Linked DNA regions of Arabidopsis thaliana. The protein of the gene in region 1 interacts with the protein of each later gene in a biochemical or structural test. Each region holds a gene or a part of one and is shown in the gene's direction. Other genes may lie near its edges.

Region 1 (5,937 bases):
AAACAAAAAGCTCACACATGACCCAAGAACCCTAGAGAGAAGAAGAAGAGGAATGAGAGAATTCATCCTCGATTTTGAAGACATCGCCGAAGGATTTTGTTGGTACTTTCTTCTTCTCTTTGACTTTCTCTCTGACTCCATCATCTCAATTTCTCTCTTCTTCTTTGCTCTAATCACAGACTTCTCTTCTTTCCTCTTCTGTCTCAATTTGATTTCTTAAAAAAACAAAAAAAAAGATGGGTTTAATCAAGAACACAGTTCATTACTGTTGTGTCTCAAGAGACAATCAGATTCTTTACTCTTACAACGGTGGAGACCAAACCAACGAGAGTCTTGCTGCTCTGTGTTTAGAAAAGTCTCCTCCTTTTCATACTTGGTACTTTGAAACTATTGGTAAAAGAAGATTTGGGTTTTTAATTGGAGATGGGTTTGTTTATTTCGCCATTGTTGATGAGGTTTTGAAGAGATCTAGTGTTCTTAAGTTTCTTGAACATTTGAGAGATGAATTTAAGAAAGCTGCTAGGGAGAATTCTAGAGGAAGTTTTACTGCTATGATTGGTTCTATTAATGTTGAAGATCAGCTTGTTCCTGTTGTTACTAGACTTATAGCTTCTCTTGAACGTGTTGCTGAGAGTAGTAGTAACAATGAATTGAAGAGTAGTAATCTTGGTGAACAAAGCGAAGGTTCGAATTCTACTAAAGCTCCGTTGTTGGGGAGGTTAAGTAAGCAAGAGAAGAAGAAAGGGAAAGATCATGTGATTGAGCTTGAGGAACACAGGAAGTCTAATGATAGAGGGAACATAACCGATGATTCAGCGGGAGCTGGAACGTCGTTGGAGAAGGAGTGTGTGTCGAGTAGTGGACGTTCTGTTACTCAAAGCTTTGAATGGAAATGGCGGCGGTTAGTTCAGATTGTTCTTGCTATTGATGCAGCTATTTGCTTGACACTGTTTGGTATTTGGTTGGCTATATGTCGGGGTATCGAGTGTACACGTTCGTGATTGTGCAGACAGAAAATCGGATAAACAGAGTCGATTCTTTACATTCCCTTGTGCATTCCAATAGGCAAAAAATATGTTGATTGTAATGTGAAGCATTCTTAAGTTATAATTTGGCTTATGTATTGCTTTAGTCACAGCTTTGAAATATGTACAGTCGGATTCTAGATTCTGTTCAGTGTTCTTTGTGACTTCACGATACAGTAACGTCCATCTTTATATGATTTAAATTGTTTGAGCTTCAACTTCAAACTCAATCCTCTTTCAAGTTCCCTAAGTAAGGCCCTCACTAGCAAAGAAGCTGGCTTTGAGATGCATAAGGCTTTACCAACAAGTGTATTGATTGTATGATTCGTTCCAACAAGTGTATTGCCACTGCAGTTCTTGTTGTTACCGATCAACAAAATGGGAAGTAAAAAATGGTAGGTAGATAGGAACCGATCCGAAAAAAGTTCCGAAACCGAACTGAACAGTCACAAAATCCGAACGGATAATGAATTCACCTACCCAAATTACTTCAGCCGAATCCGATTCCGAATCAAAAACCGAATAAATATCCGCTAATCCGAAATAAAATTATATCTATCTAAAAATATTAGTTACAGGTTTATACCCAAAAATTTCTAAATAACAAAAATATTAGTTACAGGTTTATACGTCCGAATTTTTAAGTTATATTTGTTACAATTATACAATTTTTTTTGCAAAATTAAACCAATTTTATTAAAACGGAACAATATATATTTTTTTTTCTCAAAAACCGATCCGAATCCGACACTATCCGAACCGAAACCAAACCGAATAGTCATAAAACCCGACCGGATAATAAACTTTCCCATCTGAATCCGAAAATCCGAACCGAATCCGATCCAAAATCCGATCCAAAATGTGAATGTCCATACTTAAGCTCCGACTAAGCAAAGCAATACAACAAGAGAAATTGTACAAAGAGGAAGTAGTACCGATAAGTGCCAATGACCCAATTTTGCAACTATTGGGCCATTTTCAAACACCAATATCAGGCCCATTAACAGATTGAGAGAAACCAACCTCCCAAAAGAGAAAAATCAACAGAACCAAAACAAAGCCACAGTATCTCTCTCTCTCTCTCTCTCACTCACATCGTCTCCTCCATTTTCACCACTAAAACCAGACCAAAAACCTTCCTTTATTCGTGCCCTTCTGGGCCAACAAATGTTCACAAGCGGTAACGTCACCGCTCGGGTCTTCGAACGTCAGATTCGAACTCCTCCTCCCGGCGCTTCCGTCAGTCCCCAAATCTCTCTCTCTGTCTCAATCTCTCAATCTCAATCTCTCTTTTGCTTATCTCTTTACCTTCAATGATAGGTAAATCGTGCAAGACACTTCTACGAAAACCTAGTCCCAAGCTACACACTCTACGATGTCGAATCTCCCGATCACTGTTTCCGCAAATTCACAGAAGACGGACTCTTCCTCATTAGTTTCAGCCGTAACCATCAAGAACTCATAGTCTATCGTCCTTCTTGGCTCACTTACTCCACAACCGATGATTCCACAACCACCCTACCTCCTCTACCTCGCCGTGCTTCGAAATTCGACAGCTTTTTCACTCAACTCTACTCAGTCAATCTCGCTTCTTCTAACGAACTCATCTGCAAAGACTTCTTCCTCTATCACCAAACTCGTCGTTTCGGTCTTTTCGCTACTTCAACAGCTCAGATCCATGATTCATCATCTCCTTCTAATGACGCTGTTCCTGGTGTTCCTTCCATTGATAAGATTACTTTCGTACTTCTTCGATTAGATGATGGTGTTGTTCTTGATGAGAGGGTTTTTCTTCATGATTTCGTTAATCTGGCTCATAATATGGGTGTGTTTCTTTATGATGATCTTTTAGCGATTTTGTCGTTGCGTTATCAGAGGATTCATCTTCTTCAGATTAGAGATTCTGGTCATCTTGTTGATGCTCGTGCTATTGGTTACTTTTGTCGTGAAGATGATGAGCTTTTCCTCAATTCTAGCTCTCAGGTAAGCAAAGTTTTTACAGTATCTTTCTCTGGAGTAGATAAAGTTTTGAGCTTTGTGAGGTTTTTGATTGTTAGGCAATGATGAGTCAAGATAAGAGTAAACAGCAGAGTTTATCTGGGAGTAAGGAAGATGATACTGGAGAGAATGGGTTGCGTCATAGTCTAAGTCAGCCAAGTGGTTCGAATTCGTTTCTTAGTGGTGTTAAGCAACGGTTACTTTCTTTTATCTTCAGGGAGATTTGGAATGAAGAATCAGATAACGTAATGGTTCGTTGTTCTTCAACTTCTCTTATCACTTTATGAAATTGCTCTGAGTTTCACAATCTTGTACATTAAATGGGTTATGTTTGTGTACTGCTTGGCTTCCTCTGTTAGATGTTGAGTAGGATAACAGAAGTTTAAGGTTTAGGATTGATGCAGTTGACAGTGACTTCTTAGTTGATGCAGCTTATCATATACATGCTCTTTGCATTTTCGACCTTTCGTTGTAGTTTGCAATGTGTGTCGTATTGAAACACTACATCTTGGATACGAACTAATCGAAAGGCACTATTTGATTTGACAGAGAGTTCAAAGTCTTAAGAAGAAGTTTTATTTCCATTTCCAGGATTATGTCGACTTGATTATATGGAAGGTAATCAATTATGTGTTTCTGCTTTTGGAATCTGTGTCAAGTGTTTGGATTTGATGGTGAAAAAAACTAATCTTTTGTGTATTCTTGATGTCCAGGTTCAGTTTTTGGATCGACAACACCTGCTAATCAAATTTGGAAGTGTAGACGGTGGGGTAAGCTCTCTATAATACAAATTCATGGTTACATTGAACTGATACTGTCATTTTCAGAAATTACAATTTGATTGATTAGACTTATGATTGTTGATGGGTTACTCAGGTAACAAGAAGTGCTGATCATCATCCAGCTTTCTTCGCGGTGTATAATATGGAGACTACTGACATTGTAGCATTCTATCAGGTAAAATGGATGTCATTTTGGCCAGTTATTTTGTGGAATTTGCATCTACTTATAACTTGACTTAGTACATTACTATATGCAGAACTCAGCAGAAGATCTTTACCAATTATTTGAGCAGTTCAGTGATCACTTTACAGTATCAAGTAGTACACCGTTCATGAACTTTGTAACATCGCATTCTAACAACGTCTATGCCCTTGAACAACTAAAATACACGAAGAACAAATCAAACAGTTTTTCTCAGGTAAGTACATCTCTGTATTTCGATATGTTGGTTTTTATGAGAGAGTTGAATCTAATCAATTTTTCTATACAGTTTGTGAAGAAGATGTTACTCTCTTTGCCTTTCAGTTGTCAGTCACAAAGTCCCTCCCCATATTTCGACCAGTCTCTCTTCCGGTTCGATGAAAAGGTAACCATTCTATAAACCCTTATTCTCTTCAACTTCAGGATTGAGTTAAGTTAATTTCGGATATGGTTACAGTTAATATCCGCAGCAGATAGGCATAGGCAATCCTCAGACAACCCAATCAAGTTCATATCTCGAAGGCAACCGCAAACCCTGAAATTCAAGATAAAACCAGGTTGGTTGTTTTAGTTGTTTAGATATTAAGATGACGAAAACCCAAACCGCACGGAACATGATTTAACGTTAGGATTGTCTAATGGTGAACAGGACCAGAGTGTGGAACTGCAGATGGTCGAAGCAAGAAGATATGTTCATTCTTGTTCCATCCTCATTTACCACTTGCCATCTCTATTCAACAAACACTTTTCATGCCACCTTCTGTCGTCAATATCCATTTTAGGCGATGACTCTTTTTGGTTTCTATCAGTCTAGTAGTCTTCCTACATGTTGTAATCTATTGTTTGTAACAAAAGTTCAGTAAAACCTCTATAAATTCCGAGTTGGGCCGATGTAAAAATTAACAAACTTCGATAAAATAATAATATAATAATCTTTTGGAAAGCTTTATATAAAAATATGGTTTTAATGTCTTTTAAGTATTGAATCTTGTTAGAGTTTGTCTCTAACTTTTATTCTATCAAACAATTGTTTTGTCTCTAAGTCTGATTGAATTATGTTGGGGTTTTCAATTGTCAAATTATAGAATCGTTTATAACTTTGTAAAAAAATTAGCCATAATGTTTTGTAAGTTTCTAATTTCTTAGTATGCATCATTTTCAATTATAGTTTTTGTGATTTATTGTCAAATGAGCTTTTTAAATATTAAATTTTCAATTATATTACTATAAAATTTATAACATCTCATAGTTTCTAAAATTTGAAAAATTAAAACAAATATCTCTATAAATTAATAATTTAAATTTAAATTAATATATTAATTATAGATAAATTATTAATCACTATAATTAATAAAATATCATACTTCCATCTTTATTAATTTATAGAGGTTTTACTGTATCTCAAAACACATAATACATGCAAAAAGTGTTTGAATCTTAAAAAGGAAGAAATAACTAGGAGGTGTTATTGGTTCCTAACTAAAAAGAAATTTTGAAGACTTTAATAATATCATATAAAGTAAATAAATGAAAGATTCTAAACTATAAACTATTTGTAGAGAGTTTTCAATAATATTATTGATTAGTTTTTCACAAGGTTCAAAAAATCGGCCTAGGCGGCCCGATTTTAGTGAAATCGGTGAATCAAATAGGGTTTTCGGTTTAAGCGTTCAAAATCAGTATTAACCGGTCAAATCGGCCAGTTTAGTATATGTAAATATGATCGTTTTGAATAAGTGAAAAATAAAGTAAAAGTACTTGATTACTAAACTTGTAAGTTAGCAATTAATTATTCTCAAATTTTCAGAATAAGTTAATTTAGTTTTCATAGAAATTTTGTGTGAATATACATATATTATAAATTCAAATAGGTAATATTTTCAACATTTCATATATTTTAACCAATGTTTTGTTATAAAATTATGAAAAT
Region 2 (6,078 bases), on another chromosome or scaffold:
GTTCTCTCTTAATGTCTCATTGTTTCAGTTCCTACTTCCTACAAAATCATAATTTGGTAAAGAAAAAAAGCTACATACAATTGCATAAGCATATGTAGTCTATAAGACGAGATATATATGATAATTTTCGGAATATTATTACTTAGCATTTTGTTTAAATATAACCACAATCAGGCTTTAATTTCAGTTTTTGTCTTGTCATTTGCATCTAACATAAAATATTATATTTTACTCTAAAGAACAAAAACGCAAATCATTATTATTCAATCAAAATTTTTTACGACTTTTTTATCAGGAGATAATATTTTTTTCTATTTTGCGTTTTGTTTAATTTAAAGTAACTTTGATGGTAAATCAAAATATATTTTAGATAGGTACAAATCATTTTAGCGGACAAAAAAAATGTACAACAGCAAGAGGGTGATTTAGCAACAAAATTTAGCTTGAAAAAATTGATGTTTATAGATTATGTCTAAATCTGAATAAAAGAATAAATAATTAAGTTTGATAGATCATGCAAGAGGGTGGTTTAGCAACAAAAATAAACATATTACCCTGTCTCATAAATCATTGAGATTATCAATAAAAAAAACACCCAATTTCTGTCTTAATATTGTCCCCACCAATGTGAGTCCATATCTGATTCTCTGTTTCTTTCTTCCCTACTTGGAATTATATAAAAATATGTATATACATATTAATGTGTATATATATATATATATGTGCGTGTTCCCATATCAATGATAAATGCTCTTTATCAAAAGGTAAAATGATTATAAAAAAAAATAAGTTGTTTCATTTTATTTGTTGTTTTCAATGCAAAATTTATTATTATTTTATTATTTTTGATTCTTGAAATTCTGCAACTTTTTATTGGTTAAATTATTTTAAAATATGTAATTAAACATATTTTTAAAATTTAAGAAAACAGAAACTAAATGATCTTAATCAATGTACCAAAATCTTAAACTAGAACAAAATAGAAACAAAAGAAGTATTATAGAAGAAATTAACACTTTGTTCACTAACTTGACTACTATAAATGATTATAAATTAACACTTTATGTAGCATTCGACTTTTCTGTTTATAGAAGAGGAGACTCACTTAAGTCTTTAATATCATGTTTGCATATGTTGTAGTCTTTTGTTTTTAACATCTTTGGATTGACATGGTCTATTCTATAGCCAATATCTATTATGCAAGATAACACGATTTAGTGGAGTCAAACTCTGGTGGAAAAAGCGGAATCAAATGGATTTAACCACAAGACTAAAGGAATATTTCCTGCAAGATATATGTAGTCTTAAATCTATAATTTAGCGATATAAAAAAGGACAATTTTTAAATATGATACTTAAGTTTTTGTTTATTTCTTTAAAAATACCACTTAATGTTTGGTTTCTTAAAATAACATAAAACTTAAATTTAACTTCCAACATTCAAAATTAAACTCTAAACTTTAAACACTAAACCCTAACCCCTAAAAACAATATCTTAAAATTAAAATGGTCAATTCAAACTTAATTTTTTTAATTCTGATGAACTCTTGAAAATCAAAATTGAAGTATAATATTTTTGGAAAACAAAACTTTTGGTGGTATTTTGACAACACAACTTGAAAGTGTGATATTTTGCTACAATACTCCTCTAGAATTCGAGGCTCCCTTAAAACAAAATATTATTTTCGTGTCAGTCATATTTTTTTGAGACATTTCTCAAAATACCACATTTTCAAGTCTTATTGCTAAAATACCATTTCATCCGGTATTCGATCTTCTATCAAAAGAAAATTATATTCATGTAGGATGTCTAGGTTTGGTCCAGACAAGTTAAATGGTAATCTGGTAACATGCGATTCAGTTATGTTTAAGTGTTAATCAGTTAATATTCTAAACTCGGAATAAATGTGTGATGATCCTTGAATATAAATTTATTTTGTAATACTTAAATATATTTTTACCAAAATTAACCGGATCATTGGATAAAGTTTATAAAATAATTTTTTTTTGATGATAATGCCATGAAAACAATTTATAGTACGGATGAGAAACAATGAGGCTGATTATTTTATCTCCGTCAGCTACAAATGATCTCAGACATTTTGTTTTTATGTTCAACTTGGTTTTTTATTCAGAGGTTAAAAAATGGGCACAAGTTTCTATTCAGACACATACACACATAAATAAAATAGAGAATTCACTGTTAAAGTTAGTTGACACAATAGTAAATGCGATACATGCTAGAGTCACGGAAGAGGCAAAAACAAACTCCAAAGAGAGACATATAAGAAAAAGACAAAAACCCTTAAGAAGCTTATCACATTCTTAAAGCACGAAAATTCAGAATAAGATTCAGTCATCCTTTAGCACAAAAAAAAAAAAAAAAAGATCCAGTCATCCAATACTAGTTCCCCAGAAATAAAGGTGATATATTTTTTTTTTTGAGAAGCCTATCCAGTACCAACCTCAATTCTCTAGGTTAGATATAGTCTGGGTAGTATATATGTTTCTTCACTGATTAGTAATCTCTGTGTGTAGTACACTTACTCACTAGTGCTACTCTTTTGGATCTTTCTGGGGTTTTTCTTTTGGTTATAAAACCAGAAGAAGAAGATAACTGTTTGTTATTTTAATACTTACCATTATCATCATCTTTGTAGAGAGAGAGATATGCATCATTTTGTCCCTGACTTCGATACCGATGATGATTATGTCAACAACCATAATTCTTCTTTGAATCATCTTCCTAGAAAATCCATTACTACTATGTAAGTTCTTTTATTCAAACTTATATTAAAAAAAAAAAAAAGTTTGATTAGTTCAAGATCTGAGTATTTATAGTATTGAAAACTTTAGGGGTGAAGATGATGATCTTATGGAGCTTTTATGGCAGAACGGTCAAGTTGTTGTTCAAAACCAGAGACTTCACACCAAGAAACCTTCTTCTTCTCCACCGAAGCTTCTTCCTTCTATGGATCCTCAGCAGCAACCTTCTTCAGATCAGAATCTTTTTATTCAAGAAGATGAAATGACTTCTTGGCTTCATTATCCTCTCCGTGACGATGATTTCTGCTCAGATCTTCTCTTCTCCGCCGCACCTACTGCGACGGCTACCGCGACGGTGAGTCAAGTCACCGCCGCGAGACCGCCAGTATCTTCGACGAATGAGTCGAGGCCGCCGGTGAGGAACTTCATGAATTTCTCGAGGCTGAGAGGGGATTTTAATAACGGTAGAGGTGGTGAATCTGGACCGTTGCTTTCGAAGGCGGTTGTGAGAGAATCTACGCAGGTAAGTCCTAGCGCAACACCGTCGGCGGCGGCGAGTGAATCCGGTTTAACACGGCGGACGGATGGTACTGACAGTTCCGCCGTAGCTGGAGGCGGCGCGTATAATCGGAAGGGAAAAGCAGTGGCTATGACGGCGCCGGCGATCGAGATAACCGGTACATCGTCATCTGTAGTGTCAAAGAGCGAAATCGAACCGGAGAAGACGAACGTCGATGATAGGAAACGAAAAGAGAGAGAAGCCACCACTACTGATGAAACTGAATCCCGTAGCGAGGTGAGTCAAAAAAACACAGAACAGAGTCGTTGTTAGCTATCGTGCGCAAGTCAAATACGGCGCATTTTAGTCTGACTTTGTAGTTTTCAGCGCATTTTTAATTAACTTTTTTGGTGTTTTCTTGTGGTGCAGGAAACAAAACAAGCACGTGTATCAACAACATCTACCAAGAGATCTCGTGCTGCTGAAGTTCATAATCTCTCTGAAAGAGTACGTTTGTGTTTTTTCTTATGTTTTTGTAATCTTTTTCGATAAAGATTTCGCAATGAATCTGAAGAATGTCGCGGATTTGGTAACAGAAACGGAGAGATAGGATCAATGAGAGAATGAAAGCTTTGCAAGAACTTATACCTCGCTGCAACAAGGTCTTCGACGATCTTTTTTCTTTCTCTTCAAGTTATTGTATACGTTAACCTTGTTACTGATTGTTGTTTCTTTGATCCTCAGTCAGATAAAGCTTCGATGCTAGATGAAGCTATTGAGTACATGAAATCTCTTCAGCTTCAAATACAGGTTCATTTTCTTTAAAGGATTCTAAGTCTTGAAAGCCCTTTTTAAGTTCTTGAAAATGTACACTTTACCATGAAAACTCCAGTTTATATGACTGAGATTAATGCAGATGATGTCAATGGGATGTGGAATGATGCCAATGATGTATCCGGGCATGCAACAGTACATGCCTCATATGGCGATGGGTATGGGTATGAACCAGCCTATTCCTCCTCCTTCCTTCATGCCATTCCCCAACATGTTAGCCGCTCAAAGACCTTTGCCTACACAAACTCACATGGCCGGGTCAGGACCGCAATACCCTGTTCATGCTTCTGACCCGTCAAGAGTCTTTGTACCGAACCAGCAGTATGATCCAACCTCGGGCCAGCCTCAGTATCCAGCTGGTTACACGGATCCATATCAGCAGTTCCGCGGTCTCCACCCGACCCAACCACCTCAGTTTCAGGTACTAAACAGTCATCTCTTTCCCAAAAATGACTAGTTCCTCTGCTTACAAGTCACAAGTTCTTATCTTTCTTATTTTAGAATCAAGCAACATCGTACCCAAGTTCGAGCAGGGTGAGTAGTAGTAAGGAATCTGAGGATCACGGAAACCACACAACAGGTTAATAATGTCCATGGAGCAACAAGAAGATCTGTTTTCACAAGCAAACACAATTTCTTATCCGACCCGACCCAACCACCTCAGTTTCAGGTACTAAACAGTCATCTTTTTCCCAAAAATGGCTAGTTCCTCTGCTTACAAGTCACAAGTTCTTATCTTTCTTATTTTAGAATCAAGCAACATCGTATCCAAGTTCGAGCAGGGTGAGTAGTAGTAAGGAATCTGAGGATCACGGAAACCACACAACAGGTTAATAATGTCCATGGAGCAACAAGAAGATCTGTTTTCACAAGCAAACACAATTTTGAGAAATTGACAGAGAGACCTAACATGTATATATATCGCCATCTGTTTCTTGTTTTTCTTTGGTTTGTTTTGTCCTCTCTTCTCAGGTTGTATACTTAGAGAGCTGTACATGTAATGATCCAGAGATCTAGGAATCAATACATAGAGGTTGCAGAGGCTTAGTGCAAAGAATAAATATGAGAAAGTTAGGTTCATATACATACCCGATCATTATTCTTTTCTCGTCTATTATTATTACTTTTGACGAAAGCAATTCTTGATTAAGCTTAACAGTGAATATTTACAAATGTTCCACTCCCAAGTCCCAAAGACTTATCGATACAAATGCACAAACAAATCTTAGTCCTTGCAACTAAGCTCACAATGTGACACAAAATATGTAAATAGACGGACAAAAGCCAGCAAACAAAAGCAAGAAAATTAATGATGTAATTGGCCAAGCATTGCCCATTTTGTAGTGTCTTTCATAGGATCTCTTCATCTAAAAACGTAGTGATGTCAACTAATATGGTATCTCCAGTCCATGACCATAATATCGAAAATATAAAGCTAAAAGAAAAGGCAAACAAATTTCTCAAACCGTTAAGACTTGCTATCTCCATGACCATAAGACTTGACAAACATGCATATATATGTATCAAACCGTTAAATCAATTTTGTATTTGCTTAATAAAGAAGATGTAAAAAGAAGTTTAACATTTATAGTATTTGAAAACTTATATATTAGTATTACTATTTCCTTATTTTTGTCAAAGTTATTTTACTATATATTTCCTTAACACATCAAAATAGAAGGTATACTTATACGTAAATGACCTTAAAGATTTGTTAAGTAATGGTGCATCCTCCTGGTCCTCCATAGAAAATTGCACTAGACCACTCCTCACCGACCCCTGTTTTTGTTTCGACTTTATAACATTTTGGGCTGTTTGCGAATAATCTTAAATCTTTAACTGGTGGACTTCTAATTTTTTCTATTTCACGATCTATCACTTTAAGGCCGTTCACAAAAGCTGCCTTTTTGAAACCTTCTTTTGGGAAATGTCCACTTCCCATGAGTGGGCTTGTACTCTGTCTCAGTGCACTGAAAACT
Region 3 (6,905 bases), on another chromosome or scaffold:
AAAAATCCCAATAAACATATGTTTTGGTGAGTACTTTTTATTCAAAAAAATTTACATCCTCTTCTGCCAAAATCATTTCATAAGACATCCCAAAATCTTTGGAATAATGATTCCATGAATGAAGAATCCTAATTTGAATATACCAAGAGGTTTTGAAAGGTTTTAAGTTTTTGATAGGTGTGTATGTGAGAAGGTACATCCATCGTGATGGTAATCTGCTTATTTATAATTTTAACTTGCATTATACAGCAGATAGGCTTATATTTTAGTTAAACTAAAAACTTTTATTGTAAAATTGATTATAAATATATGATATTATTTTATTTGATTTTAAATGTATAGAAACTACGAGTTGTATATGTTTTGTTGATATTATTTATATTGTTTAGTGTTTAAAATTATATACTTGTATTTTGATTGTTAATTTTAGAGTTTCACATGTAGTATACCATCTTGTATTAATATTGATTTAAACCCGTCAATTGTAGGATTTTTCAGCTTGTATTAAAAATTGAATCACATCATACACATTAAAAAATCTAATATGTTATTAATTATTGTAGTATATAAGATTATAAATTTTAAAATAATATGTATGAAATTGAATATAAATATTCAAATTATGACACAGTACTCAGTAATTTTTTTTCTTAAATCTACTTTTGACCCGTTATAGTATTTTTTTCATGTACTGAACAATTTATATTCGTTTTTAAAAATTCAAATTGTGGCATATGCGAAAAAACTCTAATTATTTTTTTATAACGATGATATTATTTTTTCGCAAAAATAGAATCATATAAAGATGAGAGGTGAATTATAATAATTAATAAAAAATTAATATGATAATATTGATATCAAATCTAATTTGTTGATTTTAATTGGTTACTTTTTTGGAAATTAATAATGTATTTCGTTTTTGAGTTAAATTTAATTAATTAAATTAGTATTTGACTTTTTAATTTTTAAAGAAATGAATTAATTTACTCTTTAAAATTTTATTTCTAATGGCATACGTATGTAATTACTTACAAAAAATAAGGTTACATTTTAAAAATTAATATGATAATTTAGATATCAAATCTAATTTGTTGATTTTAATTGGTTACTTTTCTGGAAATTAATAATGTATTTCGTTTTTGAGTTAAATTTAATTAATTAAATTAGTATTTGACTCTTTAATTTTTAAAGAAATGAATTAATTTACTCTTTAAAATTTTATTTCTAATGGCATACCTATATAATTACTTACAAAAAAGAAGATTATATTTCAAATGTACTTCCCAAATAATATAGTAGGATCACTTCCATTCCGAGTTTTCTTCTTTCTTTGATATATATATCTACTTATTTATTTACTCGGTTTGATTTTATAATAAATTTGTTTATAATTATTTTCTGAACAAGAGATGGCCATAAAATACAGTGATGAAATCAATAATGGTCCATGCAAATGTACTCAAATTATCCACTTGGAAAGTTTATAGTATACAATGGGTTGTTACGTATTTTAGAATCTAATTTGCATGGCGATTTAATTGACATTTCATCATCAACCGAGCTATAACGAGAGATAAACCAGAAGATGCAACGTTCGTGAACAAACTCGACTGATATTCTAGATGGTTTTATTTATTTTTTACTTATAGAAAGGAACAAATTAGATTTAAAGATAATATGCTCTAATCTAAGAGTTTGGAACCACTATACCACATACTATATCCCATGATTAAAAAAAATCTCAATTATTATAGCGCAAATGATTGGTTTTCATCAGTTAATAGAACTTGCTGAGTGAGTCCCCAAATTTGAGGATGATTAGTAATTTAGTATCGTAAAGACTAAAAAAGACTTAAGAAAAATAGTAATGATTAGAGAAGTCAAACCTTTAATAATTAAGATAGATAAAGAGAGACAAGGTTGCTCAACCCCACTTGGAGTGTGATGCTTTTTTGGCAGTGTTCCTTTATGATAACACATCTCTTCACACACAACTTTAGTGTATCACAGGCCCATGTCACTTTAAGATAAGATAACATATTCTAGTATATGATTATTTTCATATTTGTAAGTGTATTAAATTATTCATAGACACACCATGAATTAATTGTAATAATGCGAAGGACCTGTATCATGTAACAGAGACAGACGAAGTGTGCAGAGGTCGGTGAGAAGCAATTTGGTCACCATGCTCCAACTCTCTTCTCTAGGTCCCTTTTGCTTTAATTTTCTCGTTTAATAACAATATCTTATGAAAGCAGTTACCATATCAATTGAAGGATTGTATAATACCGTAATTTATTTATATATAGTACATCTAATTAAACATTAATTATTTCTACTAATAGCCTAAAACCACTACTAATACAACAACTAGTACTTGTTTACGATAATTATTAAACTTGTCTCGATACCTACAACATGCCCAAAAAAGTAATCAATACTTTGTTTAATCACAAAGATCTCAGTGAGATGGTTCTATAGATAGTATTTCTGATTTGTTAGTATATTAGAGAATTGACCATCTATTAAAATAAGAGAATGAACACTATTTGATAAAACAATACATACGCAATTATCATTGTCTTTAATTTTTATCAAAGTAATCATACGATCGACTATTTGTATGCAAAAATTCATCATTTTATTTGCAAAAAAAAACAAACAAACATGGTAGAATTGTATTTGGTGTGTGTTTTAACAAATTGTTGCAATGTTTAGTGCAACATATATAATCCACTATATATAATCATTGACATAATTAATATTTGATTATATGAAGCAATTTCTCTTTAATTATGTGTTTATAAATATAGGGAGAAAAGAAAAATAGAGAGAAAGGTAAAGAGTAGAGCTAATGATTCGGGCGACGCTAAAAGGTTGAATGTTCGAGAGAAACGGAGTCTCAGAGACTGTGAAAACAAAAAATCAAAATCCTCAGTTACAGACGATTTGGTCCCCTCTCTTCTCTCTCTGCGTCCGTCTTGTGCGTCGATTTGTCTCCATCTCCTTCTCTCTCCGCCTACTTTCTCAGGACTACTCCAATTCGCCGACTTTTTCTCCTCTGTTCTCTGCATTTGGATTGATGCCACTTTAATACTTTGAGGTTCTCACTCTCTCTTTCTCTCTTCGCTGACTTCGATTGCTTCAGTACCCTTTTTCTCAGGTCAGCTACGATGATAGCTTTATTCAGACAAGAAGATCAAAGTTTTGATCTTTTTGTTTTGGTTTTCTTAAGAGATGGTTAATTAGGTCTTGAGTGCGCTGTTTTGAATCGTTCTTCAGTGTGATTAAACAATTGGTTTTGATTTGACTAATCATGTTGCCATTAAACTAAGTGAAAATCTCTGCTTTTTTTATATTGCATATTGATGATTGAGACATTGATTTCTTTTCTATTTCTTTATTTCCCAGTTTCTAATTTGGGAACTGAAAAGTTTTCTAATTTAAGCATTACAAAGTGTACAATTTTTGTTTCTGGCAAGTTTTTCTTGGCCTAATTCGTCTATTTTATGAATTCACCTTTTTAGGATCAAGACTTCGTAAAAGATTGTTTCTGTAAAACGCAACACCATGCCTCTGTTTGAGCTTTTCAGGCTCACCAAAGCTAAGCTTGAATCTGCTCAAGACAGGAACCCTTCTCCGTGAGTCCCATTCACTTGTCTCTCTTTAAGTCTGCCTTGTTTCAAGTTCATCAAATTCATGTGTTTTTTTGTTGTGTGTGAAAAATAACAGACCTGTAGATGAAGTTGTGGAGCTGGTGTGGGAAAATGGTCAGATATCAACTCAAAGTCAGTCAAGTAGATCGAGGAACATTCCTCCACCACAAGCAAACTCTTCTAGAGCTAGAGAGATTGGAAATGGCTCAAAGACGACTATGGTGGACGAGATCCCTATGTCAGTGCCATCACTAATGACGGGTTTGAGTCAAGACGATGACTTTGTTCCATGGTTGAATCATCATCCCTCCCTTGATGGATATTGCTCTGATTTCTTGCGTGATGTGTCGTCTCCTGTTACTGTCAACGAGCAAGAGAGTGATATGGCGGTAAACCAAACTGCTTTCCCGTTGTTTCAGAGAAGAAAGGATGGCAATGAATCAGCTCCTGCTGCTTCTTCGTCGCAGTATAACGGTTTCCAATCGCATTCTCTGTATGGAAGTGATAGAGCTAGAGATCTTCCTAGCCAACAAACCAATCCGGATCGGTTTACTCAGACGCAGGAACCACTAATTACTAGTAACAAGCCTAGTTTGGTCAACTTTTCACATTTCTTACGCCCTGCAACTTTTGCGAAGACTACTAATAATAACCTTCATGACACTAAAGAAAAGAGTCCTCAAAGCCCGCCAAATGTGTTTCAGACCAGAGTTCTTGGAGCTAAAGACTCTGAAGATAAGGTTCTTAACGAGTCTGTTGCTTCTGCTACGCCTAAAGATAACCAAAAGGCTTGCCTAATATCAGAGGACTCATGTAGAAAAGACCAAGAGAGTGAAAAAGCAGTTGTATGTTCTTCTGTTGGCTCGGGTAATAGTCTCGATGGCCCATCCGAAAGTCCTTCACTTTCTTTAAAGAGAAAGCATTCGAATATTCAAGACATTGACTGTCATAGTGAAGTGAGTTAAACTCATGTCATTTTATGCACATTACAATTTCGTTTCTTTGTTGTTTTCTTCAGTTTTTTTATTGAATATTGTTGAGCAGGATGTGGAAGAAGAATCAGGAGATGGAAGAAAGGAAGCAGGTCCATCTCGAACGGGTTTGGGTTCAAAGAGAAGCCGCTCTGCAGAAGTGCATAATCTGTCTGAAAGGGTGAGTGAGTGAAGCCCCTAAAGGGTTTTTGTCCATTCTCAAACTCACAAAAGATTGCTATATTTGGTAACTTACTGTCCTCAATTTTCAGAGACGGCGTGATAGGATCAACGAGAAGATGCGTGCCCTGCAAGAACTCATTCCAAACTGTAACAAGGTCAGCTTCTTCTCCTTTACAAATACCATTCATGATTCATTTTTGTTTGAAAGATAAGGAGCAATGCCAAATAAACTAAAACTTGCATCTTAGAACGAATTGCTAAAGGTTTTTGATTGGTTTCCGTATTTATTAAACCGGAAAAACAATTGAAACCATATTGTAAGCAAGATTGTTCAAGCCGAGAATTTTCGTATTTAATCAGCTTTTGTAACATTTATATGGTTTAAAGGTGGACAAAGCTTCGATGCTAGATGAAGCCATCGAGTATCTCAAGTCACTCCAACTTCAAGTGCAGGTAACACTCTCATTACTCTCTAGAGTCGATAAAAATCGTGCAAACTAATAATCTAAACACAATAATCGCCAACAGATCATGTCAATGGCGTCTGGTTACTATCTGCCACCGGCGGTTATGTTCCCACCGGGTATGGGGCATTACCCGGCAGCAGCTGCTGCAATGGCAATGGGTATGGGAATGCCTTATGCAATGGGCTTGCCTGATTTGAGCCGTGGTGGTTCATCGGTTAACCACGGACCACAGTTCCAAGTCTCGGGGATGCAACAACAACCAGTGGCGATGGGTATTCCACGTGTCTCTGGTGGTGGTATCTTTGCCGGTTCTTCGACGATTGGCAATGGCTCGACTAGAGATTTATCTGGTTCTAAAGATCAAACAACGACGAATAACAACAGTAACTTGAAACCAATAAAGAGAAAACAGGGGTCTTCTGATCAGTTTTGTGGATCGTCGTGACATAAATACAAACTTATGAACTGATGTATTGTTTATTTGTAGCATTCAAACAAATCTATTTTATAATCCTAAACAAAATTAATTTGTGTTCGTTATAACAGTGAAGAGCTTTGTGCTTATTGGTGGGTTCTGTTCTGTTTCTTGTTTTGAATTAAAAAATGTTTTTAATATTTTCAAAGGTTTTGTTCCCTTTTTAATGTAGCGTGGGGTTCACTATATAGATGGACCTGGTTAAACAAGCGTGATGGGCTTCTCAGCCCATTTTGTTAAATAACTTAATTATGACATTTTCTTTCGATTTCCTTTTTTTTCTTTTTTTGGGCCAGGACTATTGAACTAGTGAAGCTGAATATATACCCACGCGAAAATTGAAATTATTGGAAGTTTTTTTTTTTTTTTTTTTTTGTTGGAACCTATAGGGTGTATATAAGTTACATGATACACGGTGTTTGAGCGCATCACTTAGCTTGATATGTAGTTTATGTTATACGTAGTAAGTGATTCGCTCACGCATGACTGTTACGTTTTCTTTAACAAAAAGAAAGGGAATCGATGGTTAGGGTTAGGTCAACGATCGGAGGAGTTGAGCTAGAGCCTAGAGAACCATAGTTTGGAAGAGGGCAAATGTGAGCTCCTGATTTGTTTCTCGGATGCTGGAAGCTATATATATGTCCATGATTGTATCGATTGGGAGTTTTGTCGAAAGTAAAAAATTTCTTCCTCAATTCTTTAGGAAGTTTGTTACTTTGTTTTATGTTCACAAAACGTTGTCAACTTCTCGTAGATGCTTGTTTCTATAGTTAGAGATGTTTTATATACCCAGCCTGCCAGCCAGCGAGCAGACTTTTATTAATAGTTTCCCCTATATATAGGCTATATAGCTTTAGCGTAAACTTAAGTTCTGTGTGGTAAATCGCGTCTTCACAAACATTTTTGCACCAAAGACTTCTTAAAAGTAATATATAGAAGAGAAATTTAGATGATTCTGTCCTCGTTTAAATTGATGAGACTTATTAAACTTAAGTAATGCATAATAAATAAAACATTAAAACCTTTAGTACTGAAAAAGGTAGTCTATATAGTGGAAAGCAGAGAAGAACAAAAAAGGGTTTATACTTCCATTTAGATTTTGTATCTTCTAATGGAGGTGGATTAGACAGCTCTAACTAATTACGAAAGA

What was found.
Region 2: the proteins of DET1 (region 1) and PIL5 form a complex in vitro, tested with the Arabidopsis thaliana proteins (one study listed by BioGRID).
Region 3: the proteins of DET1 (region 1) and PIF3 form a complex in vitro, tested with the Arabidopsis thaliana proteins (one study listed by BioGRID).

The regions. Positions count from the first base shown.
Region 1 is NC_003075.7:6,344,351-6,350,287, forward strand, and holds DET1 (light-mediated development protein 1 / deetiolated1 (DET1)), read left to right. Parts: upstream 1-2,060; 5' UTR 2,061-2,192; coding exon 2,193-2,264; intron 2,265-2,345; coding exon 2,346-3,008; intron 3,009-3,082; coding exon 3,083-3,274; intron 3,275-3,572; coding exon 3,573-3,641; intron 3,642-3,736; coding exon 3,737-3,793; intron 3,794-3,899; coding exon 3,900-3,980; intron 3,981-4,062; coding exon 4,063-4,224; intron 4,225-4,296; coding exon 4,297-4,392; intron 4,393-4,464; coding exon 4,465-4,564; intron 4,565-4,656; coding exon 4,657-4,796; 3' UTR 4,797-4,964; downstream 4,965-5,937. Other genes in the region: AT4G10170 (SNARE-like superfamily protein), read left to right, coding at 237-1,001. UniProt on the Arabidopsis thaliana protein: Component of light signal transduction machinery. Involved in repression of photomorphogenesis in darkness by participating in the CDD complex, a complex probably required to regulate the activity of ubiquitin conjugating enzymes (E2s).
Region 2 is NC_003071.7:8,703,131-8,709,208, reverse strand, and holds PIL5 (phytochrome interacting factor 3-like 5), read left to right. Parts: upstream 1-2,204; 5' UTR 2,205-2,424; exon of another isoform or gene 2,425-2,660; 5' UTR 2,661-2,670; coding exon 2,671-2,768; intron 2,769-2,856; coding exon 2,857-3,562; intron 3,563-3,694; coding exon 3,695-3,772; intron 3,773-3,861; coding exon 3,862-3,927; intron 3,928-4,009; coding exon 4,010-4,075; coding exon of another isoform or gene 4,076-4,090; intron 4,091-4,181; coding exon 4,182-4,520; intron 4,521-4,600; coding exon 4,601-4,684; 3' UTR 4,685-4,769; intron 4,770-4,849; coding exon of another isoform or gene 4,850-4,933; 3' UTR 4,934-5,185; downstream 5,186-6,078. Other genes in the region: AT2G20170 (NEP-interacting protein, putative (DUF239)), read right to left, coding at 5,814-6,078. UniProt on the Arabidopsis thaliana protein: Transcription activator. Negatively regulates chlorophyll biosynthesis and seed germination in the dark, and lightinduced degradation of PIF1 relieves this negative regulation to promote photomorphogenesis.
Region 3 is NC_003070.9:3,073,643-3,080,547, forward strand, and holds PIF3 (phytochrome interacting factor 3), read left to right. Parts: upstream 1-2,125; 5' UTR 2,126-2,210; intron 2,211-2,758; exon of another isoform or gene 2,759-2,816; 5' UTR 2,817-3,573; coding exon 3,574-3,644; intron 3,645-3,735; coding exon 3,736-4,615; intron 4,616-4,703; coding exon 4,704-4,811; intron 4,812-4,902; coding exon 4,903-4,968; intron 4,969-5,200; coding exon 5,201-5,266; intron 5,267-5,341; coding exon 5,342-5,725; 3' UTR 5,726-6,012; downstream 6,013-6,905.